Saccharomyces cerevisiae S288C: one gene and its partners. The gene in region 1 interacts genetically with each later gene. Each region holds a gene or a part of one and is shown on either strand. Other genes may lie near its edges. The genes, in order: APM3, ARL3, RIC1 and COG5.

Region 1 (7,900 bases):
TACGCCTCTGTAGTCCCACCAAGACACAACGAAAAGCAAATTGCCCTTATCGAAAGAGGTAAGTGTCCTTTTGGCGATAAGAGTAATTTGGCCGGTAAGTTCGGTTTCACCGCTGTGGTCATTTACGACAACGAACCTAAATCTAAAGAAGGACTACACGGTACATTAGGCGAACCTACCAAGCACACTGTCGCCACCGTCGGTGTTCCATATAAAGTTGGTAAAAAATTGATTGCCAATATTGCATTGAACATCGATTATTCATTATATTTTGCCATGGACTCTTATGTAGAATTTATCAAGACCCAGAACATCATTGCCGACACAAAACACGGTGATCCTGATAATATTGTTGCCCTTGGTGCTCATTCAGACTCTGTTGAGGAGGGCCCAGGTATCAACGACGATGGTTCCGGTACTATTTCCCTATTGAACGTCGCTAAGCAATTGACCCATTTCAAGATCAATAACAAGGTCCGTTTTGCATGGTGGGCTGCTGAAGAAGAAGGTTTGCTAGGCTCTAACTTCTACGCTTATAACTTGACCAAAGAAGAAAACTCCAAGATCAGAGTATTTATGGACTATGACATGATGGCTTCTCCAAACTATGAATACGAAATTTATGATGCGAACAACAAGGAGAACCCTAAGGGGTCTGAAGAGTTGAAAAACCTGTACGTAGACTACTACAAGGCTCATCACTTGAACTACACTTTGGTCCCATTTGACGGTAGATCCGATTATGTCGGGTTTATCAACAACGGAATTCCAGCCGGTGGTATTGCCACTGGTGCCGAAAAGAATAACGTCAACAACGGAAAGGTCTTAGACAGATGCTACCATCAATTATGTGATGATGTCTCTAACTTATCCTGGGACGCATTCATTACCAACACCAAGTTGATTGCTCACTCTGTGGCCACCTATGCTGACTCTTTCGAGGGTTTCCCAAAAAGAGAAACCCAAAAGCACAAAGAGGTGGACATATTGAATGCTCAACAACCACAATTTAAGTACAGGGCCGACTTCTTGATTATTTAAGTGTACTGTTCACATCAAGTATTTCTGTATAATTATCTAAAAGAAAATAAAAACCCTCTTTTTTTTAACTGCACGTGCATCAAGGGGATCACAGCCTCCTTATCAAAGTGAAAAAAAGGTAGAAAAAAAAACTGAAATTGTGATATAAAAGTTTAAACAGGAAATTATTGTAAATTGAACAATATGTGTGAAGCCCGTTTTTGGTTTGTTATTCCCAACTAACCATACCCTCATAGATTACTCTGCATTTCTACTATATGGTTGAAACATTTAGTTTTGCTCATTTGGCTTATTTGGTCTTTGAGTCCGTTTTACAGGTAGTCATTATCGCACTCGCTGGTTTTTGGAGCGCTAGTTCTGGTCTGCTGCCCAAACAAAGTCAAAAAATCATTTCTCTGTTGAACGTGGACCTTTTTACACCATGTCTTATTTTTAGTAAGTTGGCCAAATCCCTGTCCATGGCCAAAATCTTTGAAATAGCCATCATTCCTATTTTTTTTGGTTTGACTACTGGTATTTCATTTATTTCCGGAAAGATAATGAGCCGTATCCTAGACTTGGATAAAGATGAAACTAATTTTGTGGTGGCAAACTCTGTCTTTGGTAACAGTAACTCTCTACCTGTGTCCTTGACATTATCTTTGGCTTACACTCTGCCCAACTTAACTTGGGACCAAATTCCTAATGATAACAGAGATAACGTTGCATCAAGGGGTATTTTATACTTGCTGATCTTTCAACAAATCGGACAAATGCTGAGGTGGAGCTGGGGTTACAATAAGCTAATGAAGTGGTCTGGAGAGAACACTCAGCATATGCCACCTTCTCAAGTGCAATCTTTGTTGGAAAGGACGCCCAACATTGATAACGAGGAACTTGTCAATGAGGAACAAGAGGAACAAGAATTGCTTGAAGAAGAAAATAACAGAATGAACTCATCTTTTTTGAGTTCGAGTTCCATCGGTGATAAGATTTGGCAAAAATCATGCACTGTATTTGAGAGAATCAGAGCGAACCTTAATCCTCCGTTATATTCCATGATTTTTGCTGTTGTTGTGGCAGCAATTGGTCCGTTGCAGAGAGAGCTATTTATGGAAGATGGGTTTATCAATAACACATTTGCCGAGGCTGTTACGCAGCTGGGTTCAGTTTCTATCCCACTGATCCTGGTTGTCCTCGGTTCTAACTTATATCCTTCTGCGGAAGTCTTCCCTAAGACGGTTCACCATAGCAAGTTATTGATCGGCTCCATCATCGGAAGAATGATTTTACCTTCTTGCTTCCTTTTGCCTATTATTGCTATTGCTGTTAAGTACATAAACGTGAGTATTTTGGACGATCCAATTTTCCTTGTTGTCGGTTTTCTTTTGACTGTTTCCCCTCCTGCCATTCAATTAACTCAAATCACTCAACTGAATGAATTTTTCGAGGCAGAAATGGCCGATATTCTATTTTGGGGGTACGCTGTCTTAAGTTTGCCTGTAAGTATTATTGTTGTCTCAGGTGCAATTTACGTTTTACAGTGGGCTAACCCAACTTAATACAACTTTTCATTCCTTTGTATAGAGTCTTCATGAATGAAAGTCTTATTCATTTTTTTTTTTTTTTAGCATAGTTTTATATTCCTTTTTTATTCCAAGACTTATATTCTCATTATATTCTATTTAGTTTCGCATGGAATTTCAAGTACACATATAACTACAGCCTTACTTGAAAATTGCCTGTCTGGGTCTTATACTTTGCACCCTTGTACAGCTTTGTATTTTTGCCAATTGTTAATCCAGATACAATATCGATGGCTTCTACATAGATTCCACTGGCCGATTGTCCTATGTAAGAATATTCTAAGGAGACTGTTTGTAAATCAACTTTTTTTGTAAAATTTGGCCCAGTATTTTCATACTCAATACAGCCACGTAGTACAGGTACCGTTCCAGTGGCAGTTGATTTATCAAAAATCCATTGTCCTTGACCCATGATAATGCTATTTTCAAAACGGCCATGAGTATTGCGCAATATTTTTATCTTATATGCTATTTCATTTGGATCAGCATTCTCAACATTGAACTGTAAATCTATTTTTAGGTCATCAACTTGTGAAACTTTTTTGAAATTTTCAATATTTAAGGATAACTCAAATTCATCAGAATCTTTACCCAATCCATTTTGGAAGTGTAAAGACATCAAGCCAATAGAATTCATCCTTACTCCGGATTGCTTTACTTGAGAACTTAAATCGACGGAATACTCCAGCAATCTGAACTTCCCATCTGGTGGTATAAACGTTATATTAGAGGGAGAAAACACACCATCATTGATTTCAACACAGTCATGCAAACTGGGTATACCTATATCATTTCCCATAGTGTTTAATTTTACTGCAACTAGAGGATTATCATTCAAATAAGATCTCACGTCCACTATTCCATGGATACTTCCAGTGAGCAACCTTAGATGTGATTTTTTCTTTTCAAATACAACATGGAATGTTTCTAACAAATCCACATAAAGCTCATTATTCTCATGTTTGCTAGCCCTTGAAGTTCTCCAGGGAACAATCTCTTCATTTTCGATTAGTGAATTACTACCACGAGAAATCTGATTTTGTTGTAGCTGCTGTTGCCTTTGTTGTGGGAGTTGCACAGCCTGCTGTAAATTATGGGCTGTAGAACTTATGAACTTCGATAAATCCGATCTTTCAGGAACAGCTTCTTTAATTTTATTAACATAGAGCATATCACTCACATTTGGTTCACCCGCTTCGACGCAACAGTTAAAAATCAAACTGATTCTATCATAATTATTAACAATTTTCTTGATACTTAATTTATCCTTGTCAAAATATTCTAACAGGATACGATCTATAGTCTCTAAAAAGGTAAAACAATCAAGCGGGCCTTTTGACTTCGAAGTGGAGGCTAAGCACCAATAATTGAGCTTATTTATAACTGAGAAATACTTATAGACCTCTAAATCTCTTCCAACCATTGAATGGTCTAAATAATCATCACTACTGCTATCTTCGAGCAATTGAGGACATGTGGACTGAACGCGGGTCCACAGGTGCTTGAAGGAGGGAGCTGTTGCACCTAAAAGATACTGGAAAATAAGTTTGTTCTTTGTATCAGTGATATAGAATGACAAATACATCTATTTTGGTTGGGTTGGTAAGGTTTACAGCCTCTGTTGTTGCCCAAGTCCTGTTATCGCCAACTTTAAATAAATCTCTTCTTGTTCTTTGACCAAAAATTTCATTTTTCGTCGCATTTAAAAGAAACTGAAATTTCAAACATAAACACCAAAACAAAGCATCATCAAGGGAACATATAGTAAAGAACTACACAAAAGCAACAATGAATAATCAGCCGCAGGGTACCAACAGCGTTCCAAATAGTATTGGAAATATATTTAGCAACATTGGAACTCCATCTTTTAACATGGCGCAAATTCCGCAACAGCTGTATCAGAGCCTCACACCACAACAATTGCAGATGATTCAGCAACGACACCAACAGTTACTGAGGAGTCGTCTACAACAACAACAACAACAACAACAACAAACTTCACCGCCACCGCAAACGCATCAATCTCCACCCCCTCCTCCGCAACAATCTCAACCCATTGCTAATCAATCAGCGACTTCTACCCCTCCTCCTCCTCCAGCACCACACAACTTACATCCCCAAATTGGTCAAGTGCCCTTAGCTCCAGCGCCTATTAATTTGCCTCCACAAATTGCTCAGTTACCTTTGGCTACACAGCAACAAGTTTTGAACAAGTTGAGGCAGCAGGCCATAGCAAAAAATAATCCACAGGTTGTGAATGCAATTACTGTTGCACAACAACAAGTGCAACGCCAAATTGAGCAGCAAAAGGGACAGCAAACGGCACAAACTCAGCTAGAACAGCAGAGGCAATTGCTGGTTCAGCAGCAACAGCAGCAGCAACTTAGAAACCAAATACAGCGACAACAGCAACAACAGTTTAGGCATCATGTGCAAATACAACAGCAGCAACAAAAGCAACAACAACAGCAGCAGCAGCATCAGCAACAACAACAACAACAACAGCAACAGCAGCAACAGCAACAGCAACAGCAGCAGCAACAACAACAGCAACAACAACAACAACAGCAGCAGCAGCAGCAGCAGCAGCAAGGACAAATACCGCAATCTCAGCAAGTTCCTCAAGTTAGATCCATGAGTGGACAACCTCCCACCAATGTTCAGCCAACTATTGGCCAACTTCCTCAACTTCCAAAATTAAACTTACCCAAGTACCAAACTATTCAATACGATCCACCAGAAACCAAGCTACCATATCCAACCTATTGGTCAGACAAAAAAGCAGATACGGATACTTTGTTGTACGAACAAATTATCCAGCGTGATAAAATTAACAAATATTCGCTAATAAGAGAAACCAATGGTTACGATCCGTTTAGCATTTATGGATTTAGTAATAAAGAGTATATTAGTAGACTGTGGCATACACTGAAGTATTATCAAGATTTGAAGAACACTAGAATGAAATCTATCACAAGCACTTCTCAGAAGATTCCTTCGGCAAGTATTTGGGGAAATGGTTACTCAGGGTATGGTAATGGGATTACGAATACAACTACCAGAGTTATTCCACAAGTAGAAGTTGGAAATAGGAAGCATTACCTAGAGGATAAATTAAAAGTCTATAAACAGGCCATGAATGAGACATCGGAACAGTTAGTTCCCATAAGATTGGAGTTCGATCAAGATCGTGACAGATTCTTCCTCAGGGACACTTTGTTATGGAACAAAAATGACAAGCTTATTAAAATTGAAGACTTTGTGGACGACATGTTGCGAGATTACCGATTTGAGGACGCTACGAGAGAGCAACACATTGATACTATTTGTCAATCTATACAAGAGCAGATTCAGGAGTTTCAAGGAAATCCATATATAGAGTTGAATCAGGACCGTCTAGGCGGTGATGACTTGAGAATTAGAATCAAGCTGGATATTGTCGTGGGACAAAACCAGTTAATCGATCAATTTGAGTGGGACATCTCTAATAGTGATAACTGTCCAGAAGAGTTTGCAGAGTCCATGTGTCAAGAATTAGAACTACCAGGTGAGTTTGTGACTGCCATTGCTCACTCCATAAGAGAGCAAGTTCATATGTATCATAAATCACTGGCACTGTTAGGTTACAATTTTGATGGATCAGCGATAGAAGATGATGACATTAGAAGCAGAATGCTCCCAACGATTACTCTTGATGATGTTTATAGGCCTGCAGCGGAAAGCAAAATTTTTACTCCAAACCTATTACAGATTTCAGCTGCAGAGTTAGAGAGATTGGATAAAGATAAGGACAGAGACACAAGAAGGAAAAGAAGACAAGGTAGATCTAATAGACGTGGTATGCTCGCATTGTCCGGCACATCTGCAAGTAATACATCTATGAACGGCGTTCACAACACAGTAGCAGCAGGAAATGCTTCATCGTTGCCACCAGGAGAGATTTTACTGCCAGATATTGCAGATATTCCAAGAACTTTCAGGACTCCAGTACCTAGCACTTTAATGCCTGGTGGTGTTGACGTAGGCCCTTCTGTGGAATCGTACGAATTGAGAAACACAACCACTTATAAAAGCAGGCCAGATAGACCTAAGCCAGTTTCACCTCCTTGTTATATTATTGACCATATTCCGGGTCATTCGCTACTACTTTCTATTAAACTGCCTGGGAAAGTTAATACAAAAGAAGAGTTCGCAGCAGCGCCCAATGACACAAGTAGTGGCACCAATGCAATGCTTCCGAGTCCAGAATCGCTGAAAACTAAGCTGAATAGTAACATTCGCGCTGGTGTGACGATACCTTCAATCCCAAACCCGATTGCCAATCACACTGTTACTAATTCACCCAATCCCACACTGCAGCCAGTAATCCCAGGTGGGGCAGCTAGTAAATCGGTACCTACACCTAGTCTTCCTATAGCACCTCCAGTAGCACCACATGATAGCGAAGCGACATTGTTGACTAATAGCAATAATGGTAGCAGTAACAATAACACACAGAATACATAGAAAATATATACACATATATAAAATATACCGGAGATGTAAATAACCGTGGAAGAATTTGTATTATCATCGTGTTATACGATGCGGAGTCCCTTTGCGCCTACTTTTTTTAGAAGAATAGTACATAACCTTTATAAAAATCTTCCAATTTAGATACATAAAAAGAGCATGAGAATAACAAGAACACGTAGTCTAGGAAACTAAGCGCTATGCCAGAGCAAGAACTACTTATAGGGCAAGAAATGAATACACTTCATGCAGGTTCATCTACTGATGGCATAAATGTCGGAAACGCAGGACGAACTAGAGACACACAAACTGGCGTAGAAGGGGAAACGGAAATAGGGTCTGACGAGGAAGATAGCATAGAGGACGAGGGAAGCAGCAGTGGAGGAAATAGTACGACAGAAAGACTAGTACCACACCAGCTGAGGGAACAAGCAGCCAGACATATAGGAAAAATAGGAAGACATTTTAATATTCTTGATAGACTTTTTAAGAAACGTACACAACAGTCTTCGGATATACAACAAGGTGCCATGTTTGATGGTGTCTTTAGCAATTTAAGCGCAAAACCAGATACCACAGAGACTGAAGGTAATAACGAACAAGACATACCACCTACATACGACGAAGCTGCTGCTGATATGGCCCCCTCGTATTATGGAATGGATTTGAACAATTCAGATATCTACTACGACGAAATATGCATTGAGGGGCTTCCTGTAGGAAATATAGCAAATTTATTATGGAATATCATCGTAAGCACGAGTTTTCAGTTCATTGGATTT
Region 2 (6,833 bases), on another chromosome or scaffold:
AATTTCAATTCCAGATACTGTCATGAATGAAGAGCCGCCCCATCCATAGTTTTTCCTAGTTCAAGCATTAATATACCGGACCACTCTACATCTTCCGAAAGCCGGAAAATAAGAACAAAAAATAATAAAAAAAAGCACGTTTAATATAAAAAACATTTCATTGTATGAGTTGGATTCTTTTAATTTTATTTTAAAATACGGTTGCATTTTGCATAGTAATATCCAACCAATTATTTACTGAAATTTGAAATTTGATTAAAAAAGTCAAACCAAAAAAACTACGACAATACATGAAGCTCTGAATCTTCTAGCCTAGTCATTTTATATATATATATTCACCTCCTCTCGATACGTTCCATCATAAGTTAGTTTTGTTTTTCTCTTTCTCGCGATCCTAATTAAAAATTAAATAAAATAAATAAATACATATGTATATATATTCATATGTAGAAGATTATTGTTCTTATACATCAGTGTTTTGATTTATGGTAACCTATCCCAACCTTCTGGCTTATCTTTCTTCATAATGTCGAAGTAATGTCCGCCACATGAACCACTTCTAAACGTGAAATCGTTACCCTGGTCACAGTTACAATTATATTGGTTCCATATATCATCGTTTAGGGGACAGTTATTGTACTTGTCATAATGGAATCCTATATTTTCGAAAAAATGTATTTTATCCTTTGGCAACAGCATCGATAACCCAATTGTGTGGATGATGGAATCAGACCATTTCCAGTAGAAAATACCGCCCTCTTCGTCGATGTAATTAAAAAATTTCCTGTAAGCTGGCGATCTATAAAAGTTCAAATTACCAATTTCAAAATTTGATGTGAATTCACAGTTGTTAAAATCTTCAGAGTCCTTTTTTGTAATAAATGACTTGAAATTATTCTCGGAAATAAACTTTGGAAAATCCTTTGCAAATTTTTTCGTAACATCCCAAATCTTCTCATTGGCTTCCTTAGCTTCACTCATACTCAATGTGAAACCAAACACTTTGCCTTCATCTTGCATCCACCTAAAAAGGTCATGATCAATATCACAGTACAATTTAATACCAGGGTCTACTCTCCAGTACCAATCAAACTCATCCAGAACTGGATGCCTCCAAAAAAACCCTGCAAAATATCTAGCTTGATATCTTACAGCTCTAGAATCACCATCCGGTACATTTGCTAATGAAATTAGCGATTCTGCTGCTTTATTTTCATCAATCCATTCAGGGTATACCCATTCGTCTGCAGGAATTTCAGCAAATTTAATATTAATTAACTCAGGATCACCATTCATAGAATCAGTTATGGCTTGACGAATCATTTCTTGCTTCATTCCGTCAAGCTCCCCCTGACTAATAAAAACCCAAGGATAAGCAAAATTTTTGTTAAACTTCACCTGCACTTCATCAATAGATTGTAAGATTTGGGTCATGGAATCCCTTTCAGTAATTAGTGAGACAAAGCACGCCTTTGGTGGTGATCCTCTATGATTGATATACGATGGCACCATGAACCCTAGCGTCGTTTCATTACCACCATAAGATTTGATCTTTTCCTTAATGGCATTCACGGTGGCATTTCTAATGGCCTCTCCCTCTAAAGATTGCTTCAATTCGGCTTCTTCCTGTTCACTTTGTATACGCCTTTGTTCCTCTGCACTAATTTTTGCAATAGGTTGCAAAGATTTCGGAAGGTATGGTGTAACATACTGTTCAGACATCTGCTTTGTTTTTGGATGATTTATTGTCACCATTAGCGCAAGCACGAAAACAAACGAAATCAACAGAAAGCGTGCTATTTTTTTGCTCAGCAGTACGTGCATCTTACCTTATCTTATCTTCACTAAAGGGCACAAAAGGTTGGGTGAACGCTTAGTATCCCTCTAGTCTTGTATACTCGTACACATTATAAGTACATTTAACAAATCTCATCCACATTTCTCGAATAAATATCACATGTAACTTGAAGGTTATTTTTATATTTTTTTTTCCTGTGAAGGAACAACTCGTGTCTCACGAGAGCGCCACTTAAAAAACGAAAAGATAATCGGCGATGACTATATATGTATGTGATTGAGAATAAAAATATGGAAAGATAAAAGACCTAGTAACGTTGTATTTCAATAGTGAGGATAACATAAAGAAGTAAAAAGATCTTTGAAAATGTATGAAGTAATACAGAAAAGGAAAACAAAAATAATAAACGTTTTACAGAGTCCTGAACTCATGAGGCTCATAGAGGACCCATCAAATCTGGGTATTTCTTTACATTTTCCAGTAAGTTCACTGCTAAAAAGTAATAAGTGCACACCAATGCCTAAACTTTCTACGTATAGTTTGGCTAGTGGGGGATTTAAGGATTGGTGCGCGTGACATCCCTCTAGACGTTCCACCAGAGATTGATATCATCGATTTTTACTGGGATGTTATTTTATGCATGGAATCTCAATTCATATTAGATTACAATGTTCCGTCAAAAAATAAGGGGAACAATCAGAAGTCTGTTGCTAAGCTGTTGAAAAATAAGCTTGTAAACGATATGAAAACTACGTTAAAAAGACTAATTTATAATGAAAATACCAAGCAATATAAAAATAATAATAGCCACGATGGTTACAATTGGAGAAAACTAGGCTCGCAGTATTTCATACTGTATCTTCCCCTATTTACGCAGGAACTGATTTGGTGTAAACTTAATGAAAACTATTTCCATGTTGTATTACCATCTTTACTGAATAGTAGGAACGTTCATGATAACCACAGTACCTATATAAATAAAGATTGGTTACTTGCCCTTTTAGAGCTAACTTCCAACCTGAACCAAAACTTCAAATTCGAATACATGAAATTGAGATTGTATATTTTAAGAGATGATTTAATTAATAATGGTTTGGATCTTTTGAAAAATCTTAACTGGGTCGGTGGGAAACTGATTAAAAATGAAGATAGAGAAGTCTTGTTGAACTCGACCGATTTAGCTACGGATTCTATTTCTCATTTATTAGGTGATGAAAACTTTGTTATTTTAGAGTTTGAATGCTAAGCAGTTATATTCAGTTAGAAGCATATATCCCACCATTAAATAAGTTAACATACTACTGCATTTTTATTTTATGTTTAAGAGCAGATACGTCAATGTAGCTTGCATATGTACGTATCCTCCCCCACCTCCTATTTTCTACTTTGAACTTTATGGGAGTGTTAGTATAAGAAATATGTTTACACCTTTTTCAGACAAATGTAAACGGAAAATTAAAAAACGAATTCAGATCGATGTGTTAATCAAGTAGATGAAGGAGAATAAAGCATATAAAGCGCACCGCACACATGTTTCATTTAGTCAAGGGACTTTACAATAATTGGAATAAAAAGGAACAATATTCAATTCTAATATTAGGTCTAGACAATGCAGGCAAAACGACGTTCTTGGAGACATTGAAAAAGGAATACTCTCTGGCGTTCAAAGCCTTGGAAAAGATACAGCCTACGGTAGGACAAAATGTGGCGACAATACCCGTTGACAGTAAACAGATCTTGAAGTTTTGGGATGTAGGTGGTCAAGAATCACTGAGATCAATGTGGTCCGAATACTATTCCCTATGTCATGGTATAATTTTCATTGTGGATAGTTCAGATAGAGAACGATTAGACGAATGTTCCACGACCCTACAGTCAGTTGTAATGGATGAAGAAATTGAAGGTGTACCCATCTTGATGCTGGCCAATAAACAAGATAGACAAGATAGAATGGAAGTACAAGATATAAAAGAAGTATTTAATAAGATTGCGGAACATATAAGCGCTAGAGATAGTAGGGTTTTACCAATAAGCGCATTGACTGGAGAAGGTGTTAAAGACGCTATAGAATGGATGATTGTTAGACTAGAAAGGAATAAAAAGTCAAGACCACCGATTTATAAATGATAAAGAAGCACCAAAAGAAATAAAATGTGAATGGTTTATTCTCAAGCTCAGAAATTAGTTGTTGTAGCACTTTTTATTCGGCATTTTTTAATATACATGTGTAAATTATATATATATATATATGAATATATATCTTGTTTTGTTTATTTTCAACTAATAATCGCAACAATATTATCTTTCAATAACGCTATAGCTTCTGTATGCTTTTTGCTCAGTTGCTCAATGGTTCTCTTCCTCTATGTGATAAACCAAATAGTTTGGTAAGCCAAATACATCGTAGTTTAATCTCTTCGCCATCTTAGCAAAACCTTCTGTTTCAATCAAGTGATAAAATGGGAAATTAGGGAACATGGCACCGTCTCTGTGAACTTCTGCTTTGACCAAAGTACAGCCTCCACCAACACCATCCAGCGCCATCTCTTCACCTGGTACGCCATTAGCATCGTAGAAATGAGCCATTAATGGCCTATAAGTGGCAATTTCTGCATAACCCTCGACAATAATCTCGTCATCACCCATCTGAGAGGCTATTTCTAAACCGGTGTCACTTTCTTGCCAGTTGTTGAAATCGTATGGTCTGATTGATGGTTGCTTCTTCTCTTCATCGTAAAATCTTTGATAAATGTTTGCAGCTAAGATAGCTTTGTTGTGTTTGGTCATGTCTTGAATTAAAGATGGTGGTGTCTCTATAATATCGGCATCTAGCCACAGCACCCAAGAAGTGTGAGGTCCTATGGTGGAGAATAGTAATTCATTGCGCGCCAAAGCCATTGCTGCACGTCTTTCCTTTTGAACATCTAAAGCGTGTCTTTCCTTCTCCATCAACTTATCAAAACTCTGGGAATTCTGTCGCAAAATAGTAATTTTACTAAATCTTTGAGTTTTCTTGTCCGTTTGAACCTTTTTAATAGCATTCTCCAATTTCTTTAAGGCCAAGTCACCAGTGGCTGTTCTTGGTGTAATGAACCCCAATTCAATCAATTCCCGAGGGTAATTTAGCTGCAGCAAATTGTCCCAGTATTGTTGATGAAATGTTTGCATTGGAGTCAATATCAAAATATGCTCCTTATTGACAGCTGCTTCTGACGTAGAGTGCAATTTGTTCAAATCATAATGTGCAATATGACCTTCTGGGATAATATCTTCCACGTGATCGTTGAACAACCAGCCGCTTTTTTTCTTATAAGAGTACTTTGGCATTTTGTATTTCTTGGTGAAGGGAAAATAAAATGTGTTTTCCTTTTCGTGTGCCCATTTGTGTTGGGAAATGGACTGGCCATTAAGTCCCAACAGAGATTGATCTCTCTGGAAAAAAATTATATATATTAGAAATATGGCCAAAACAGGTAGAAAAATGTTAACCCACGGGTTCTTTCTTAGGCGGTACGATACAAGAGAAAGTGACATTGTTTCCTAACTTTTTATTCTAGCTCTTTTAAATTCTTCTGTTTGAAAAATACTAAAATTGATGCTATTCTCTTCTTACTTTCACAAAGTGCGGAAGGAAAAATAGGTTCAGAAATAACGGGTCCCAAGAGCGGCTAACAGAAAATAATAAAAGCTTTTCTACCAATTGAGAATCCGCTTGGTTGACGACTTTTCCTCCTTTATTATTCTTGATTTGGTGTTCTGTTTTACTTATATCAAAATACTTCAACGCCAAATCCGCTACAACGATGGAAAGGAAAAAAAAAAAAAAAAAAAAAAGACAAACCAATGCTGTCGTGTCTAGTGACGATAAAGGCTGTAACTATTAATAAGGTGAATACTCACCCTCATCTTTTAGTTTATCAAACTTATATAAAAATTGTGTATGTACTGAATTGTCCTTGGTGTGCGAGTGAGAGTGTGTGTGTGAGTGCGTGTGTGAGTAGGTGAGTGTATGCGAGTGTATGTAAGTTTATAAGTGCCTGTGTGGCTACTATTTTCCGGTTCTGTGATGTGATGATGATTTTTTTGTCAGCTCCTTTGATTCATTCCATACTTTATTACATATGCTCATAAACATTTTCTTGTCTACATTGCTAGAGCTCAGGGGGAACTCGAAGGCAAAAATATGCGATGAGAGTCGGATTTCGCCTTGAAGAAGACTAGGTGATTGCTGCTGCGGCTGCGAGGTCCGCTGGAACGTAGTAAAAGTGGGAGTGGGGACCGCTCCGTCCTCGATGGCCAAGTCCGTACCCTCTTCTTCGTCTTTATTGGGTTCTGCCTCATGCCATGAACTCCTGTCCCGGTTTGTGCTTGTGCTTGTACTTGTGCTTGTGCTTGCGCTTCTGGCTTTCGTGTTGGCCGAGAGTAATGCATCCCGTTCAAAGTGGTATTCTTCAGCAGGTATCATATCTGCTGGGCGTAGATCCGCGCGCTGTTGCGTAGGACCGGCATTCGCACTTGATCCTACGCTAGAATTTCTTGAGCCTTCCTCGGATCGTCTGGTTTTCCCAGTGGAAGCGGTGCCACTCAAAGGCGAATCATATGAGTCGTTAACCCTCTTGTTTCTGTAATTGCTAGCACTATACTCATTTTCTTCGTAGGGCCTAGCGTTGCCACCTTGCATAGCATAAGGAATGGAGGTCCGCGGTCCCATTGGATATGGATACGACACGTAGGGTGTCATTATGGGCTTGTTCAGCATGTGAGGTGGAGGGATACCGTACGGATTATAATATGGTGACATTATGTAGCGATTCATGGGCATGTAAGGGTTCATGGCGCTCATGATGCCCGCCGAGGGCATGTGTGGTTTCCCATAACTATTGCTGCTATTATTCACTTGTATAGATTGTCTAGAACTGGCCTTTCCCAAGTATTGGACACGGGGCTGGAACTTGGAATGCTGAGTAACTTGTGCGGGCGCGCTTTTCACGTTTTGATTAGCAACAGGAGGAAAATGTGCAGAGTTAGACGAAGC
Region 3 (9,690 bases), on another chromosome or scaffold:
AACAGCTTCAGCAATTTCAACTGGGTAAGTTTCAGTTGGATGAGCAGCTTGGAACATATAGTATTCAGCCAAATGAGCTCTGATATCTGAGACGTAGACACCTAATTCGACCAGGTTAACTCTTTCGTCAGAGGGAGATAAAGTAGTGGTGGCTGGGGCAGCAGCGACACCAGCAGCAATAGCAGCGACACCAGCAACAATTGAAGTTAGTTTGACCATTTTTTTCGATTGAACTTTTGTAGATCTTTTTAGTGAAGATGTGAGCTCACTCGAATGTAAATAACAATGCCAAATTGTCGGAAAGAGTTAATCAAAGCTGCTCTATTTATATGCCGTTTTTTAATAAGCGACGGACGAACAGATAAATTGTTGAATAGCTATTTCACTGCTGATATTTCTCTTACTTGGGCTCCCCTATCCCATACTCTTCACCACTACAAATATGCAGTTGCCCTTTCTTCAACAATGCTTTTTTTATAGATCTCGTATACGGATCCGCGCCTTTGTACTACCTATATCTTATTATGATATATACAGGAGCACAGGAATGTTCGGTACAGGGATGATACCTTTAAAGGAAGTTTTGGCATGCCTTGACAACTTCAATTAATCTTTGGCCAAGAAAATGAACCAGAAATCAAATTTTATTCTGTGCCCTCTGAACGAGGGCAATATCCAATGTTTGACACTAAACGGTTGTCAGGAGAAAAATTGAATGTTTCCCAAATCAGAAACATTAAAATCCCTCTATATGATCAGAGGAGTCGTACCTGTTAGGGTATGAGCGAGGAAACGTGATTGAGAGTTATAAACTGACCATACGAAGAGTTACGGCCATTGATTGGGTTCATGACACCCAGGGAAGTTTCTTTTGGATTAAAATCACAAGTCTTGCAATTGCTGTATGTATTGCATGAGTGAAGTAGTTGGCATCTAATGGATACCCACTTAGGGAGTTTATGGATGAATCTTGTCTTCATAGGGTAGCTCGAGAGTGTTTTTTAATCTAGTGATATCCACTTAGCTAAGCGCGGCTGGAGATACAATATTTACAAAGGCAATTTCAAAAGTAGGAGCGTTTTCAAAGGCCTGCTCCATTCTCCGTTGAGGTAGTAGAAGCAAATATAAACGGTTAATCTTGCTGTTTTCCTTGTTTTGTCTGTTGGTTTTCACTTGCTGAAGCCTGTGGTTCAACAGTACTCGGAGAATCGGCCTTATCTAGTCTCCTTCTGACCTGTAATGCGTAAAATTACGACAAACGTATTTCGTGAAACAATTGATAGGAAAATTGTCATTTGCTTGTTAAGGCAGTGCATTGAGGCTCTTTAAAGGTACTTTAGAAGTTTATGTTACTATCCTTCTAGCCTGATAGAACAATAAGTAAAGAATTGACATTCAGAAATCAGCCATCATTTCGTTTAGTAGTAGCAATCGCAAGTAGTGACTGTAAGAGATAGAAATGTGTACTTCAGTCTGGAACTGGGGCGCTTGTGAAGGATGTGTGCCGATCTCAGGCTGTTGATGAAGGTCTCTTCAAATACTATATTATTATCTTTTAGTAGGTCCCAGGAAGTGCCTTATTCTCAACATGTTCAGCGTTTATCTTTCTCAGCCTGAATGTATTTCAAACGATGACTAGAAGAGATTAGTACCCCTTATATAATCCTCGAAAATGTTGCTATCTCAGTGAATTGAAAGTTCATGCTGACGTCTTTATCAGCGTTATCCATTGCCTTGTTCTTTTCAGTGCAGTGGCAGATGTTACGAGGGTCAAATAATTTTTGAATATATATAGAAATGGCTACTTACTATAATTAAAAATAAATATGAAAAATAAAACTTCAGTACCCCACATCATTCTCATTTTTTTCTGTTTGTTTGATTTTTAGGAATTTGGCTCCATCATGAACATTCGTTAGCGTATGATATCACTTTTTCATTATCTCCTATTGTTACTTTACTTTTCATATAGATATCCTTCATCCCGTGTAGGTCTACTACGCAAAAATGAATTCTAGTAATTAATAATAATGATATAAAAAAGGCTAAGTGCACATTACTAAAAACGAAACTAAGATCCTTAGTCTGAGTTGATATCACCTGCGAAAATACCTTTTTCTCTTTGATCATCCCATTTTTCGATCCAGTCTAGGGGACATAAGGCGTTATAGGTCTTCCAAAAGACCTTGCACGGAGCAAAATCTTCGCCCTTCATATTAACACACTTGTGATAATCCACATAAGATTGCCAACAATGCTTTGTTTGGTTTTGTTGGGGAAATCTAGCATCGAAACCAACTGTATGTAGTGGAGAGTTTTCTTGATCAGCCATGTCTATTATACTGTATTTATGTGCTTGTTCCTATTTGTGAAAGCAAAGATACTTTATGTATTCTTACTAAAATATTTGTATATCTCTGCTAATCATTTTAATGCAACTTTTCTATCTGGTGCATCTTTCATCACCTTTTAAAGATCCTGAAGGGATGGGGATATCGGGCAAAACTACGCGCGACGCATTTCTGAAAATTGATTGGTCAATGTTATGAAGCTATATGGTAAAGAATACATGGTGTCATATAGATTTATTTGAATCTCTCGAGTGCTTTTTGAACCAATTGTGTGTTGTTTTCTCTGTCTAATTCCTTGAGTAAGCGTATTAATTGGAAACACATGTCCCACGAATCGGTAGCTTTAATTGGGTCTGTGGCGTTTGCAGCACTTGTCACCAAAAGCTCTAAGACTTTAAGCATTAATTCTTCATCCTTCAATAAATTAGTGACAGATTTCTCTGACTTTTTTGTAGAGTTATCATTTAGAGCTTTGCTTTCCTCAGTCCCTAAATCTGATTTCTTAAAATGTAGATCATCTCCCAAATCTTTCTCATCGTAATTTAAAAACACTAACAGAAGTACGCCAAGCATTTTAGCCTCATTTTCTTCGATACAGAGTGCTAATAAATCTCTTGGTGTCATCTTTAGATTAGTGAATAGATGGTTCCAGTATTTAGTTTCGATCTTCCTTAAACAATTACTAATAATTTCTAACATACCACTGTGGGTTGGTGGTGAAATATTATGCTCAGGATCGGTGTTGTCATACATCTTAATTAATTTCAGGATATCATCCAAAGAGTCGCTTCGCAGTATTTTAGTAGACAAAATCTTTTCGAGTGCAAATTTGTAAGGCTTTAAAAAACGATAATTGTGTGAAATATCCTCCAAATCTGTGTTGTCTTCTAATTTGGCTAAGATTAATTGGTCGAGGTATATTTGGTGTTTCACCACCAATTTGGAAAATCGCGCGTTAAAAATGCAGTGAAGTGTATGTGTTGTAGCTGTTTCTGGGGTGGTTGATATTGGATACAAATCTTCTTCGATTGGAATGGAAACTAGTGGCTTTTTATCATCCCATAAATCTTCCAAAGAGTATACGACGTAATTATGGCCTTGAACTACAAATATTTCGTCCCTGATAACATCGATTATTTTTTCTATGTTATCCAACAAAGTTAAGGTTTGCCAGCCCCCTCCATCCACTTTGCCAAGCTTTATAAATTTCCTATCGGCAAAAAATAACAAGCCCTCCTTCATGTTAATTATCCACTCAATTTTGTTGGGTAAAACATCAATTGGAATGTTAATTTTGAGATACTGGTAGAATTTTTTGATGATGTTTAATCCACATGGATGTACAGTAGAAATTACATCGAAGACAATTGTCTGTGTATCAGTAACTAAAATAATCTCGGCAGTTTTAAGCAATGCATCAGGTTGTTTTTCAGAAGCATTGTGATTCTTGGATTTCATTTTCAACAACTTATACCGGGATAAAGTATTAACATGTAAACTGAAAACAATCGTATTCTCTGGAACATTGTATTCCCACATGACATAATCTGATAGTTCCACGTCCGGATTCGCTTCTTGCAGTGGAATCTGCAGACATTTCAGATTTGTTGAGCCATCATCATTCTTCATATGACAAACCAAATAATTATCACCTAGCCAATGTAAATCCAACACGTTTTGGTCAGCAAAACTAGACCACATATTGGTCTCTAGATTGTGGATAAGCAGTATGTTTTTGTTCGACACATAAGTAGCAAATAACCTCAAGGAAGAATTAATTTTTACAAAAGCAATATGATTATTGAAAGTCTTTGTAGGAAGTTTTATGACTTGTAAATTATCATTATTGATTGAAGAACTTGTCACAGGTGAATATATGATTACATCATTGTTCGTATTGGTTAATACGTAACATTTTGGGTTTCTGAAATCAAATTGTGTTTGTTTTATTTCTTCCCATAATTTCCAAACTTGATATTTTCCGGAATGAGACACTGTTATTAGTGATTTATCCAAGCATACAAAATCAGAAATTTTATATTCAGCCGCCTTTTTCTCATTTTTATCCTTGCTGTTGTCATTATTGTTATCACCATTATAATCATCTTCGTCAAAATATGTAGCGAATAGCAGATTCCCAAATTCTGTGTAAAAATGAATGTTAACACTATCCTCAGAAACCAAAAGTAATATTTTATCATTAATTTTATCGCAAAGTTTTATCACAAATGGTGGTTTCCAAGAATGGCTTACTTTTTTAATTCTTGTATCAAAGCAGATTATTTTTTCTTTGTAAACGACCACCAGGTATCCATTAACTTCTAGGCAAGTCAAAAGTTCATCTGGTGTGTCCGTTAACGGTATTGCTTCAACAGCTTGCTTTTCAATGTCTATAATGCTTACAATAGTCTGCTTTTCGACGGAATCATGAGATAAAACCATTAATTGTTTATTACACACAATTGTCTTGGATCCCTTCTTCACTTCAACCAACGAGCTCTTGCTAACTTTAAAATCCGATATTGTAAGTATTTGTAATCCATGAGGGAATAAAACTATCAAAACTTCTTCATAACGCCCATCCCCGACTTTGGAAAATGTCTTGATGCCAATCATGTCTATGATTTCATAGTCAAATTTAAGAACTACTTTTAAACGAAGTTCTAGTTTTTTCACGGGGAGTTCATCAATGTTTTCTTGATTAGAAAGAAAGTGTAAAAACCCTTTTTCCTTAGTTATGCCAAATCCATTCTGTATAATTCTTGAAGAACTATTTTTATCAAATACCGTGAGAGTATCATCATCGTTGTTATAGTCATATTCAGCACTGTTCGCTTCTTCTTCACTCATTAAAAGAGGCTCTATGACGGGTATGCCGTATTCTTTGAAAATTATTTCATTTGTGCAGTTTTTTAAAATTTGGTATGTTAAAAGGAAGTTTTTATCAGTCATTACGTAAAATATCAGCTTTCCCTGGTGCCACAATAAGTATTGCGAGTCCTTTTTTGAAATAAGCCCTTCGATGATATCATTATATGGAGCTGATCGTTTCATTGATCTGTTATCGCCAAATTCCTTAAGAGAAGCCATTGTTCGTTCATGGCTAGCTACTAGTGCCATTGGTTTGAAGTTGTAAATGAGCACTCTTGTTGGGGTTAGCATGATAAGAACATTGGCCTGGGGTAGTGTCATTGATTGAAGAATATTGCAATCATCTATTTTAGTACCCTCACCTAATTCGGCGTTGCGGGGTGGAATTCTAAGCAATTGGGGCGGACTGACTGGCCATAAGTGCATTTTCCACGTGTTCAGTTTCTTACAGCTTCCGGTCAATAACACTCTTACCTTACCTTTTTTTTTGTAGAGGCATTTAGGTGTATTTTTTTCAGACTGTTTGATGAACATCAAAGGCGTCGGTATTGCCGAATTAACATCAAAGAACAAAAGCCTGCCATAAAACGACAGAAAAGACAAGATTTTGGCCAAGATGGCAACGCCATTCAGAAGTTATAATAATATGTTAAAAATAAATCGTTTGATACTGTACAAAGTTGATGTTCATCGTTGTCACTAAAAACGCTCTTAAAATCGAATTGTCCATTGAAAAAGTACATACTTATATACATATTTGTATAAATAATACACATATTATAAAAAAAGCGAAAAGGGATGGCGGACCTCCCATGGAATTAAATTGTCAAATTTGGTTGAGGCACTTAAAGGGCAACTGCAAAGATTCCGAACAACGCCATGGGGAAATATAAGCTTTTGGCATGGGCACCATTCTGTGATTGACTAGTTCTGGATGTTGAAGAAGAGTTTGATGCGGATATAAGTGCTGTTGTACTGTTTTCTTCATTAGCCATGGAAATCATGGACTGGCCTGCGTTCGCTGTCGAGAAAGGAACAGAATTGGAAACGGAGTTTTTTTGGCTGGCATAAGATGAGTTAGTCATGGTAGCTTCTGTCTCACCTGTTATGAAGTGTTGGGGAAGGTATATGGTGGTGGCGGAGGCTTTGTTTAGCAAAGAGGTATACCATGGAAAGGCCGTAATGAATGTTTGGAATTGAGTGAACGGAAAACTCTGAGCAATATCAGATTGTAAATCTGCTGTTGAGGCCAAATCAACCATGTGATAGTAGTAGTCAGCAACAGGTTGAGGTAGGGTTAAATGGTTTTGCATCATGTATGAGGTATACTGTGGAAAAGCGGTGTCGAAATCGTTTAAAAACTCCATGAAGAATGCCATGTCTGCATCTGCAGCTGCGGACCTGGCAAGTGTATCGTCATTGGAACTAGACGTTAAAGTTTTGGCAGCAAAACTGTGGCTGATTAGAAAGCTTACCAGGAGAATATTTTTAATGAGGGAGAAAGAAGGAGCAAATATCATTGATACGCAATATTTTCAGGAATGTTGTAAATGGTTCGTAACTGGATATCGAAATCACTTGATTAGAAACAATACGCCGGAATATGATCAGGTAAAGCAGAATAACAAAGAATAAACTTTCTCGATTGAGAGTGTCTTTTTAAATCATCCAAGCTCTTGAATTTTCTAGCATAGCCTTGGATGACAGCAATAAAAAATTTGCCAGGATTTTTCCCTATTTGGGCGTTCAATGAAGATAACGTTTGAAATATTAAAAACTAAAAAAAGAAAAAGGTTTGAAGCAATTAATAATTTATTAAGTTTTTTTTTATTTATCATACTTAAGAATATGGAGACCACGGGTTTTCTTACACCTGCGAAGACCTTGAACCTAATATATTTGTTTAAGAAAACAAATAAGCGATTGTTTCTAACATTAAAACGAAGTAAAGACATGGCTTGACTGAACCTACACCTCCTGTGCTTGTACTTGAACTTATAGTATTAGTTGTTTGAGAGCTTTTTGTTTCATTTCTCGACGAAGAAGGCAATGGCGTGAACTGGGTGACTACCGTAGAATTTGAGGATTGGTAATTTATAGATGTTATGACGCTGGAAGTGACTTTTGGTATAGACGACGATGATGAAGAACCGGTGAAATTAGCAGCAGCTAATGAACCAGTAATAATGCTGGAAGAGGTGGTGCTTGGAAGATGAAGTAGTTGATCGTTAGAATTTCCAGTGTCAAGAAAGGTGTATTGCACTTTCTGTCCAAGGGCAGTATTCAAATCCTGAGCATTTGAATCTGTGAGAAGTTGCGCTTGAACAATGAACAGTTGTAGTAGCACAATTGGGGCGAAAGCTAAAGAGCCAAATTGACTGATCTTCATATTTTTTTTGATTTGTTGACGAGCTATAGGATGATGAAACGGAGGGATATCAAAGTACGTTCTTCAAGCTTACAATTTCTCAAGGTGCTTTACTGGTCAAGATATTCAATATATAGCTAAATATTTATACAAAATGTTTGTTGACGGTTTGTTTATAGTGTTTTCAAAACACCACGAAAAGACTTCATTCTTGCATTCTTTTTTCTACAAGATGAGTCTATACATCTGAAACTGCGACGCCATTTTTTCCGCTGTTCGGGGCATTCTTGGCCAAATCCTCGAAAGAAATAAAACGTCAAAAGTAAAAAAGGTGGGCTAGACGAAACGTTATTATACGTCATAATTGTAGCCGTGTATGAGTGGGTGGAACTTGTATAAATAAACAAGTTCTTACTTATCATATTCTCGCATGCAATGAAATTCTCCAGATTATGACGCTTAGGTCTGGCCAGACGGCTAATGAGGTCCAGAGGAAATAGAAGGATTGTAAGCGGCCTCCACTAAATTTTGACCCCTCATACATGCTTGTTCAAACACAAAAGATTGAGGTTGAAAACTTGGCAAGAATTGGGCTAGGAGAAAGTGGCCAGGTGCTTCTTGTTCAGAACCAAGCAGATATGCTAGCACAATGTGCACCGTTCTATTTTTTTCTATAGTGTGTTTACATTTCTTGGCACATTGCGTTCGGTTTCAAATTTGTATAATTATTATTGGAGCGAGACAGGCGTTTCTGTACCGCTGTTATTTTTAACATCCACTGCGTTTTATGTATCTCTAAAATTGTGCGTTGCCTTTCTTTTGTTTATATTTTTGTTCAAAAAATGAGTTAATAATGATTTTTCATCTTCGGCTTACCGGTCTTGAAAATATTTGTTAAGACAACAGTGGATAAAATAAAACTAAACAACTCAAGCAAAAGTATTCCACTTCTTAAACAAAGCCCAACTGAAAGGTTGCGAAATACTATGTCATTTTGATTTAATCATCTAATGCTCGAGAAAATTTCAGAGCCGTAATACTTAAGTAATCGGAAGAAAAGTATCTCATTCTTCATTTTTCTCCAAATATATACCTCTTGTGTGAAAAATTAATTGTTTCCTCCACCTCCTTTGTGTGGTGGGCAATTGTGTGCTTCCGAGTAAATAACAAAACATAAGGATAATATATAATTCTGTTTTTTTGTCTAAAAAAGGTAAACTATATATAACAAACACAGTATAGAAACACAATATATCGGTCATTGGGTGAGTTTAAGCATTAGCAGCAATGGCTTGCTTAATAGCCGCTGGGTTGGCACCAACAACCTTTGCAACTTCCTTACCGTTCTTGAATAGAAGCAAAGTTGGCATAGCGGAAACTTCATTCTTTTGTGCAACATCACCCAATTCATCGACATCCAATTTATAGAAATCAGCTTGTGGGTATTGTTCAGAGAATTTTTCAATCATTGGAGCAATCATTTTACATGGACCGCACCAAGTGGCGTAGAAATCTACGACAACTAGCTTGTCTTGAGCAATTGCAGAGTCGAATTCGCTGGCAGTTTTGAATTGAGTAACCATTATTTGTATCGAGGTGTCTAGTCTTCTATTACACTAATGCAGTTTCAGGGTTTTGGAAACCACACTGTTTAAACAGTGTTCCTTAATCAAGGATACCTCTTTTTTTTTCCTTGGTTCCACTAATTCATCGGTTTTTTTTTTGGAAGACATCTTTTCCAACGAAAAGAATATACATATCGTTTAAGAGAAATTCTCCAAATTTGTAAAGAAGCGGACCCAGACTTAAGCCTAACCAGGCCAATTCAACAGACTGTCGGCAACTTCTTGTCTGGTCTTTCCATGGTAAGTGACAGTGCAGTAATAATATGAACCAATTTATTTTTCGTTACATAAAAATGCTTATAAAACTTTAACTAATAATTAGAGATTAAATCGCTTATTGCTTAGCGTTGGTAGCAGCAGTCAACTTAGCTTGTTCAACCAAGTTTTGTGGAGCATCGAAGACTGGCAACATGATTTCAATCATTCTGATCTTAGAGTTGTCGTTGAAAGACTTGTCTTGGGTCAACTTGTCCCA
Region 4 (7,594 bases), on another chromosome or scaffold:
TTTATTGGCTACTTCTGCCAGAACCATTTTAGAAAACATAGAATTTCTACCAAATCATGATGGAAGGACCAGAATTGCTATTATATGTGTTGATCATAGCCTTCATTATTTTTACGTTCCTTTGGATGATGATTATGAAGTATCGGATGAGGATGATGAAGAATCAGATGGTGAAGAAGAAGATGAAGACGAGGAAGAGGAAGACGTTGATAATTCAGAAACAATTCAAATGTTTGATATTGGCGATTTGGATGAACCATTTTTACCAATGCCGAGTGATGAATTAGTAGTTCCACTAAAATATTGTAAAAATAATCTGGAAACATTGTTGAAAAAGATACCTGAAATTTTTCAAGACACACACAGTAGCAAGTTTGCACTTGGACCTGCCCTAAAAGCTGCGTCAAATTTGATAAAAAGCACTGGAGGCAAAGTTGAAGTCATTTCATCAACTTTACCAAATACTGGCATCGGGAAATTGAAAAAAAGAAGTGAACAGGGCATATTAAACACACCAAAAGAAAGCTCTCAGCTACTGTCGTGTAAAGATTCCTTTTATAAAACATTCACAATTGAGTGTAATAAACTACAAATAACAGTGGACATGTTTCTGGCATCAGAGGACTACATGGACGTTGCCACTCTATCTCACCTGGGCCGTTTTTCTGGTGGTCAAACACATTTTTATCCTGGTTTTAATGCCACCAGTTTGAACGATGTTACTAAGTTTACTAGGGAATTATCAAGGCATTTATCCATGGATATTTCAATGGAAGCTGTTATGAGAGTTCGTTGTTCTACTGGCTTGAGGGCCACATCGTTTTTTGGCCATTTTTTTAACAGATCCTCTGATTTATGCGCTTTTTCCACAATGCCTAGAGATCAGTCTTATCTTTTCGGGATATCCATCGAAGACTCATTAATGGCAGAATATTGCTACTTGCAAGTGTCAACATTGTTGACTCTAAACACTGGTGAACGTAGAATTAGAGTCATGACGTTAGCTCTACCAACGTCCGAATCAGCTAGGGAAGTGTTTGCATCCGCAGATCAACTAGCCATTACTGATTTCATGACACAAAACGCGGTGACTAAGGCTTTGAATTCAAGCATGTACTCTGCGAGGGATTTTATCACAAAATCGCTCGAAGATATTTTAAATGCCTACAAAAAAGAAATTTCGATGTCTAATATAAATTCAGTAACCTCACTTAACCTATGCGCAAATTTGAGAATGTTACCTCTATTAATGAATGGACTAAGTAAACATATAGCCCTCAGACCGGGCGTTGTTCCAAGCGATTACCGTGCAAGTGCGTTGAATAGATTGGAAACGGAGCCTCTTCATTATTTGATAAAGAGCATTTACCCTACAGTTTACTCCCTGCACGACATGCCCGACGAAGTCGGTCTACCTGACTTTGAAGGAAAAACGGTTCTTCCTGAACCTATAAATGCCACTATATCTCTTTTCGAAAGATATGGCCTGTATTTAATTGACAATTCCGCAGAATTATTTTTATGGGTTGGCGGAGATGCTGTTCCTGAGTTACTAATAGATGTATTCAATACTGACACCATATCTCAAATTCCTGTGGGGAAAAGTGAACTGCCTCTTTTGAACGATTCGCCTTTCAATGAAAGACTAAGGAGGATAATCGGTAGAATTAGAGAAAACAATGATACAATCACATTTCAATCATTATACATAATAAGAGGACCATCTATTAACGAGCCCGCCAACCTAAACTCCGAAAAAGATATGGCTTCTTTAAGGCTATGGGTATTAAGTACTCTTGTCGAAGACAAAGTTTTAAATTGTGCTAGTTATAGAGAATACTTACAGAGTATGAAGACTAGTATCAACAGATAACAATCAGTCTTTCTTTAATCTTTATCTTTATTAACCGATCATCATGTATAGATTTTGATATACAATACAGATAGAAATAAAAGTAAATCGTGAAAGATTTTGGCCTTTGCGTGTGAGAGTTATGTACTTCAAAAATGCCATTCTGTTCCTACATAAAAAATAAGTATTTTCAAGTCATCGGATCAGTACGAAAAAGAAAAATTTGAAGTACTTAAAATACGACCAGTTTCATTTAAACAGCAATGGAAAAATCTCCTCTAATGAAAAAAAAAGAAAAACATTGAAATTCAGTATAAAAATGTCTGAATTTAAGATGTATGCTTTGACATAAGATACAAGTTTGCCTCTAATTTCATTTTTTTACTAACTTTTCAACGAATCGTTTAATATTCTAATTATTTTGCAGAGTATCAAGAAAAGATCTTTATAATGAAGGAGAGGGATTAGGAGAAGATTATGATTCCAATAGTAGTAGTAAAAATAATAGTGAGCATGTAGAGGTATTAGTACCGCCAACAGAATTTGAATTCGTTGAAGTTGAAAGAACCGACTCATCATTAGATCTCAAAGAAAGTAATAACAGCGCACATGAACAAAAGGAAGAAAAACAAGAAGAATTCGAGTTCCCGTTATTTTCGTTTGGTGTGGTTGAAGCATCGACTAGCCCAGCTCAAGAAGAACAAGGTTCATCAACTCAAGAGAAGGATACGCCACAGACTGAAGTAAGTTTGATGAAAATTTCATTGAAGGAACCTGAAGAAGAAATAATCAACCAAGAAAGGCCCAAAGACTACTACTTTGCAAGCTATTCTGCAGACCAAAAGCTGCAATTCCAACAGAGCTCTATCGACTATGATGTGATAATACAAGAAAGTACAAAAATTCTGGAGGATGATCTACGTATTCGTGATAAATGGCCATATTGCCAGGGTCGAATAATAGATCTGTATAAGCACAATGCGAGAATAGAGTTAGAGCAGCAGAAGGAATTGAAGATTAAAAAGAGGAGACCTGGTCAAAAGCAACGTGCAGCCAAAAAACTGGCACTTGAAAGAACCAAGGAGCGTGATACCAAAGCTCGTGAGATAAAGAAACAGTTGAAGAAAAAGTTTCATAAGCGTGGTGGAAAGAAAAACAAAAAAAAGGTACCTTTGAACCCACTGGCAAAAGCTGGCAGTACCCCTAAGTTTAGGACAGAATGACCACGTAAATGTATATATATACATATTAATACTTCATATAAACTAACCGATATTGGATTTCTCATAATAACTATTACTAGTATAATCTTTAATAATATAAACAAATATTACATTTCATGTAATTTTTATTAAACATATGCACATGCTATTGAAAATTGCTTTAGATTCATCCTATTTCATCAACATTCTTAATTTTATGTAAACTGTCTCACTTATTTAGAGAAATAGATACTGAGTTTAGCATTACATCCAAGTAGCTTTGGTAATCACTATTATCAGAAGATTTTTTCATACTTTGCTTCATAGTGTTTATAATAAAATCTTTATTTTTTAACAGCGACTTGCCCACAGGGCCTCCTCTATTAACAGATATATCAAAGTCCTTTTTGAAGGCAGATGAAACTTTGCTCCAAAACAGATCTCTCGGTGTACCAGAACCTGCTTTACTCTTCATTGAGGTATATTCTGATAAAAGATTGCCAAGGCGTGATTTATTAGCAGCAATAGATCTCGAGGAATTCGTAACATTATCCGTTTTGATGTTCTGTAGTAGTGTTTCTAAAATGTAGATGTTATAACCTTTTTCAACAACTTCATTGAACGCATCAGGAAACATCCTGATAGAATTTAAAATTTTTGATAGGATTTGTGAGCTCATTGTAACATTAGATAGTACAATCTTGTTTATTGCAGACTCGAATTCTTGAGATGAAAGTAGATATAAGGAGTAGGCCAGCTGAGATATTATTTCTTTGTTCGATTTGATTTTAATAGAGTTCAAGCACTCTTTACACATTTGTAAAGACAAAAATGTTATTAACTCTCTTTTGTTGGGGGAAACAATGTCCTGATCTAATTGTTTAATTTTCCGCAAGGATTTTAGATTTTTATTTTCTTCCAAAGTAATTTCAAGTTGGTAGTGTAAGGAGGCTAAATTAATAGCTGTTGATGTGCTTAGTTGGGCTGTTTTAGACAGTGCGTTTAATTTGTTTGATAAATGAATATAAAGCAATGCTCCGCGCAAGAGAAAAGATGTTTGGTAAACTTTACTCAACGCTAGTTGGACTTTCCTCGCTCTTTCATAAGGATCTAGAACTTGATTCTTTAGTCTATCGTACGACATATTCATATATCCCAAACTTGGTTTCAACTCACCAACTATGGTTGAATTGACGTGTTCATTTTTGTAAATTAACTCTATTATCTCCAATGGGTTGCTATTCATCAATTGGTCTATTCTAGAGTCAATCTCATGTAGATCATAGTTTAGCTTTTTAAGAGGCGTGTTAAGGTCTAAAATGGTTGTGTCATTGTTATTAGTAGCCTTCAGTAAGTCATTACCAAATTGTTTAGCATCAAAATCAGGCTCCAGCAGAGACTCAAAATCTTCTAAATCGTTTGCCATTGGCGCTATTGTCATACCTCCAGCTCTTTTCTTCTTTTTTGTTACACATTTTTATCTTCCATATCTATTCTAGTTGATTTTTTTTTTTTCATAGTATTCAACCAAATGGAGAAGTTTTTAAGAAATACGTCTTTGAAAGGGAGGCATAGAATAACAAGGTAAACCCATTTATACAGGATTCCCTCATACTATATTAGCTTATTTCATTCCAGGGGGGTTCCCTTAAATATAAGAATAATAAGAATAATGATATAAAATTATATGTCTAACAAAAAATTACAAAATTTGAGTAAATAAATAAAGAAAAAATGTGAGAGTGGCAATCAGCCAATTTTATGTTTGATATGTTGGCATTGTATTGGGCGGATGCCCATGGATACACTTATAATGTAATAAGATATTCACTTTCGTACAGGTCACAGACTAGCTGAAAAAACCATGACAATCGTTAACCCCTATTGATTTCCTTTCAAAATTTCTGGCCTGTTCATTTAGATTGGACCTGAGAATAACCACCCCAAGGATTAGCATTCTTCGACTTCAAATATTCGTCACTCTTTAGCTGCCACTCCTTATTCATGGTCTTTGCGTCTTGGCCACCCGCCATCCTGACGACAGCAAAAAGTCCCACTGAAAATAGTAGGCCTGCAGCAACACCTTTGGCAATAAAACTGGAATCACCCTTATTCAATACAGGTCTTCTTGGGCCCCATTCTCCGTAAGAAATGTACCACACAGCTTGCTTTTCAGGCTCAGTAAGCTGTGCCCATGGTAATTTTTGACGTTCACTCAACTTACTGACAATATCCTGCTGCTCAGTGGAGGGCATGTTCTCCCATCTGGATTGCAGATCCATTACAGCAGCGTTGGAAAGAGCATGTGTTTGAGCGAATCTTACGGATGTAATACGTGATAGTCCACCAGCTCTAGTAAAAGTGTTACGTAACATTGTAGATGCGTTCTTAGTTGATCTTGTGTTTGGTGCATTGCTTGCAAACAGAAGACAAAATACGAGGACTGATGGTTCTTATTTAATTGATTGTTCTTTTTAACTTTTCGCCGCCGCTTGTATCGGCGCAAAACGTAGGGCCAATCACAAACGAGGAAAACGTCTATTGGACGATTTTTGCAATGTGACACTTACAATGATGAATAATTACTATGTAGGCAGAAGTGCTAAGTACATTCTATTTAGAAGCGTAGGGAGGCGGTCTGCCTGCAGATCTGATAGTCATAAAGATTCTTTTGGGAGATGCTGTCCCTTAAGGAAGAAACATCATCTGTTCCGGGGCAGTAGATATTGATTCGTTGTCCACAGAAGCTTCCAGTGAATCTGCGGGTTGAGACAAACTTTTACAGTGCTCATCATCTTCCCCGCGTTCTGTGGCCAGTGCGGTCCTTGCTCCAGTCAACGTAGCAGGAGTTCTTGGCGTTACTTCCGAAGAATTGACAGAACTGTCATTCGGCGACGATGATAGATTCGTTACCATGGGAAAACTTCTAAAGGACGCAGAAGAGTAGGACTTCGTAGTCGAGGAAACTTCGTTGTTTCCGATGTCATCTTCCTCAGGCATGTGAACAGTCTCTCCTTCTTCGCCCGGTGAGTTCTTGGACAACATGGTTCCCCATTCCATAAGTTGGAAGATGAGACCCATGTTTGGACTTATATCCTTAGCAACACCTTTCAGCTTATTGTATGCATCATTTAAACTCAAGCCATAATATCGCATGATATACGCCACAATCAATGACGCCGATCTTGATACTCCACACTGACAGTGTACGAGTATTTTCTTGCCTTGCGAATGAGCGGTATGTATAATGCGTGTCAATCGGGATAAGTCCTTGACGATCTTGGATGTGTGTGTCCATTCAATATGGTAATATTTTATTTTATGTGCCATTTCCGGCGGTATTAAAAACTCCAGGTTCGGTATTTCTTTGGCAACATTAATGACTAAATCAAACGATAATATATCTTCTAGTTTGGGTTCTGAATATAGATACAAATTAGGCGGCAGTACCAGCAATGGTCCATCTAAATAAACCGTTCGTTGATAAATCTCTGCATGCACCATATCAATATTCAGATCCGAGTCCTCCTCCGGGAAAATCAATGTTGTTTGCATATTCTTTTGGTTAGAAAATCTGTTGACATCCGTACTATCTAAAGTACCTTCACGAGTACTAGAAATTGGCGTGGATGTCTCTAACCCTGAGATCGTTTGAGAACGTCCTCTAATTCCCTTCAACTTCAAGTCTTTAGTTTTCACGGATAATGAATGGACTCTATTCAGATGAGGTTTTTCTGAAAATGACGATAACGGTGATGATGATGACAGCTTACTGATAGACGATACTGTGGATGATTTTGTATACACGCTTGGAGAAACAGTTCGGTTCTTCAAAGATGTTGGTAGTGTGTATATAGAGGCCTCGCTTCGCCTCATCGACAGCGATGGTGGCGTTGGCCTTGGACTTACTTTTGGTGGACATTTCTCCAACACAATAGGTTTGGGCTTCATAAATAGATTCAAAGGTGTCGGCGATGGGAATTTTACTGAACCTGGCACATCTTGGCTTGGCGATGAGAATTCCATTAATGGATGGAGTGCTGCTATATCTAAAGATAAATTTTTGGTATTCCTATTTTGTAAGGAACGCGGTGAGTTTGGCTTGAAATCGATGTCGGTTTTACTGTCCAAATGCTGCTTATCTGAGTGAAATTGCATGTGCACTTATCGCTACCAAATGTATTACTATCGCTTCCGCTACTATTGTTGTCTTATACTTAAATGAAGAAAAAAAAAAGAATGTTTACTAAACGAGTTGCATAACCCTCACTCTTGTTTACTAAACGCTTTATTTAAAAGTAATAATAATGATATATTACACTGTATCGAATCCTATGTAACATTTTTGTATTTTTTCACTTCTAAATTTGAAATAGTCAAAGAGAAAAAAACATCAAAAAACAAACTACATTTTCCTTTTTTGGAAAGTACATTCCTGTTTTGGAAATTGCCTTCCGCTCCTGCGCTATAAAAAGAAAAATACCCAGCTTTGACGAAAAAGCTACATTCTTAACACTCACTTCTTACCAGGATGGACCAT

What was found.
Region 2: mutations in APM3 (region 1) and ARL3 together harm fitness more than expected from each alone (negative genetic interaction), as found in Saccharomyces cerevisiae (4 studies listed by BioGRID).
Region 3: mutations in APM3 (region 1) and RIC1 together harm fitness more than expected from each alone (negative genetic interaction), as found in Saccharomyces cerevisiae (5 studies listed by BioGRID).
Region 4: mutations in APM3 (region 1) and COG5 together harm fitness more than expected from each alone (negative genetic interaction), as found in Saccharomyces cerevisiae (5 studies listed by BioGRID).

The regions. Positions count from the first base shown.
Region 1 is NC_001134.8:775,273-783,172, forward strand, and holds APM3 (Apm3p), read right to left. Parts: upstream 4,192-7,900; coding exon 2,740-4,191; downstream 1-2,739. Other genes in the region: APE3 (aminopeptidase Y), read left to right, coding at 1-1,041; YBR287W (uncharacterized protein), read left to right, coding at 1,299-2,582; SNF5 (Snf5p), read left to right, coding at 4,395-7,112; BSD2 (Bsd2p), read left to right, coding at 7,319-7,900. UniProt on the Saccharomyces cerevisiae protein: Part of the AP-3 complex, an adaptor-related complex which is not clathrin-associated. The complex is associated with the Golgi region as well as more peripheral structures.
Region 2 is NC_001148.4:456,635-463,467, forward strand, and holds ARL3 (Arf family GTPase ARL3), read left to right. Parts: upstream 1-3,328; coding exon 3,329-3,925; downstream 3,926-6,833. Other genes in the region: LEE1 (Lee1p), read left to right, coding at 1-30; KTR6 (putative mannosyltransferase), read right to left, coding at 484-1,824; mannosyltransferase complex subunit MNN9, read right to left, coding at 4,145-5,332; DIG1 (Dig1p), read right to left, coding at 5,847-6,833. UniProt on the Saccharomyces cerevisiae protein: Involved in the targeting of ARL1 to the Golgi. Can bind and hydrolyze GTP.
Region 3 is NC_001144.5:222,841-232,530, forward strand, and holds RIC1 (Ric1p), read right to left. Parts: upstream 5,757-9,690; coding exon 2,586-5,756; downstream 1-2,585. Other genes in the region: seripauperin PAU23, read right to left, coding at 1-219; COX12 (cytochrome c oxidase subunit VIb), read right to left, coding at 2,081-2,332; AFB1 (Afb1p), read right to left, coding at 6,068-6,742; NFG1 (Nfg1p), read right to left, coding at 7,126-7,611; thioredoxin TRX1, read right to left, coding at 8,862-9,173; PDC1 (indolepyruvate decarboxylase 1), read right to left, coding at 9,550-9,690.
Region 4 is NC_001146.8:529,560-537,153, reverse strand, and holds COG5 (Golgi transport complex subunit COG5), read right to left. Parts: upstream 4,496-7,594; coding exon 3,284-4,495; downstream 1-3,283. Other genes in the region: COPII subunit SFB2, read left to right, coding at 1-1,873; YNL050C (uncharacterized protein), read left to right, coding at 2,172-2,188, 2,280-3,075; COX5A (cytochrome c oxidase subunit Va), read right to left, coding at 4,968-5,429; tyrosine/serine/threonine protein phosphatase MSG5, read right to left, coding at 5,743-7,212; VAC7 (Vac7p), read right to left, coding at 7,571-7,594. UniProt on the Saccharomyces cerevisiae protein: Acts as a component of the peripheral membrane COG complex that is involved in intra-Golgi protein trafficking.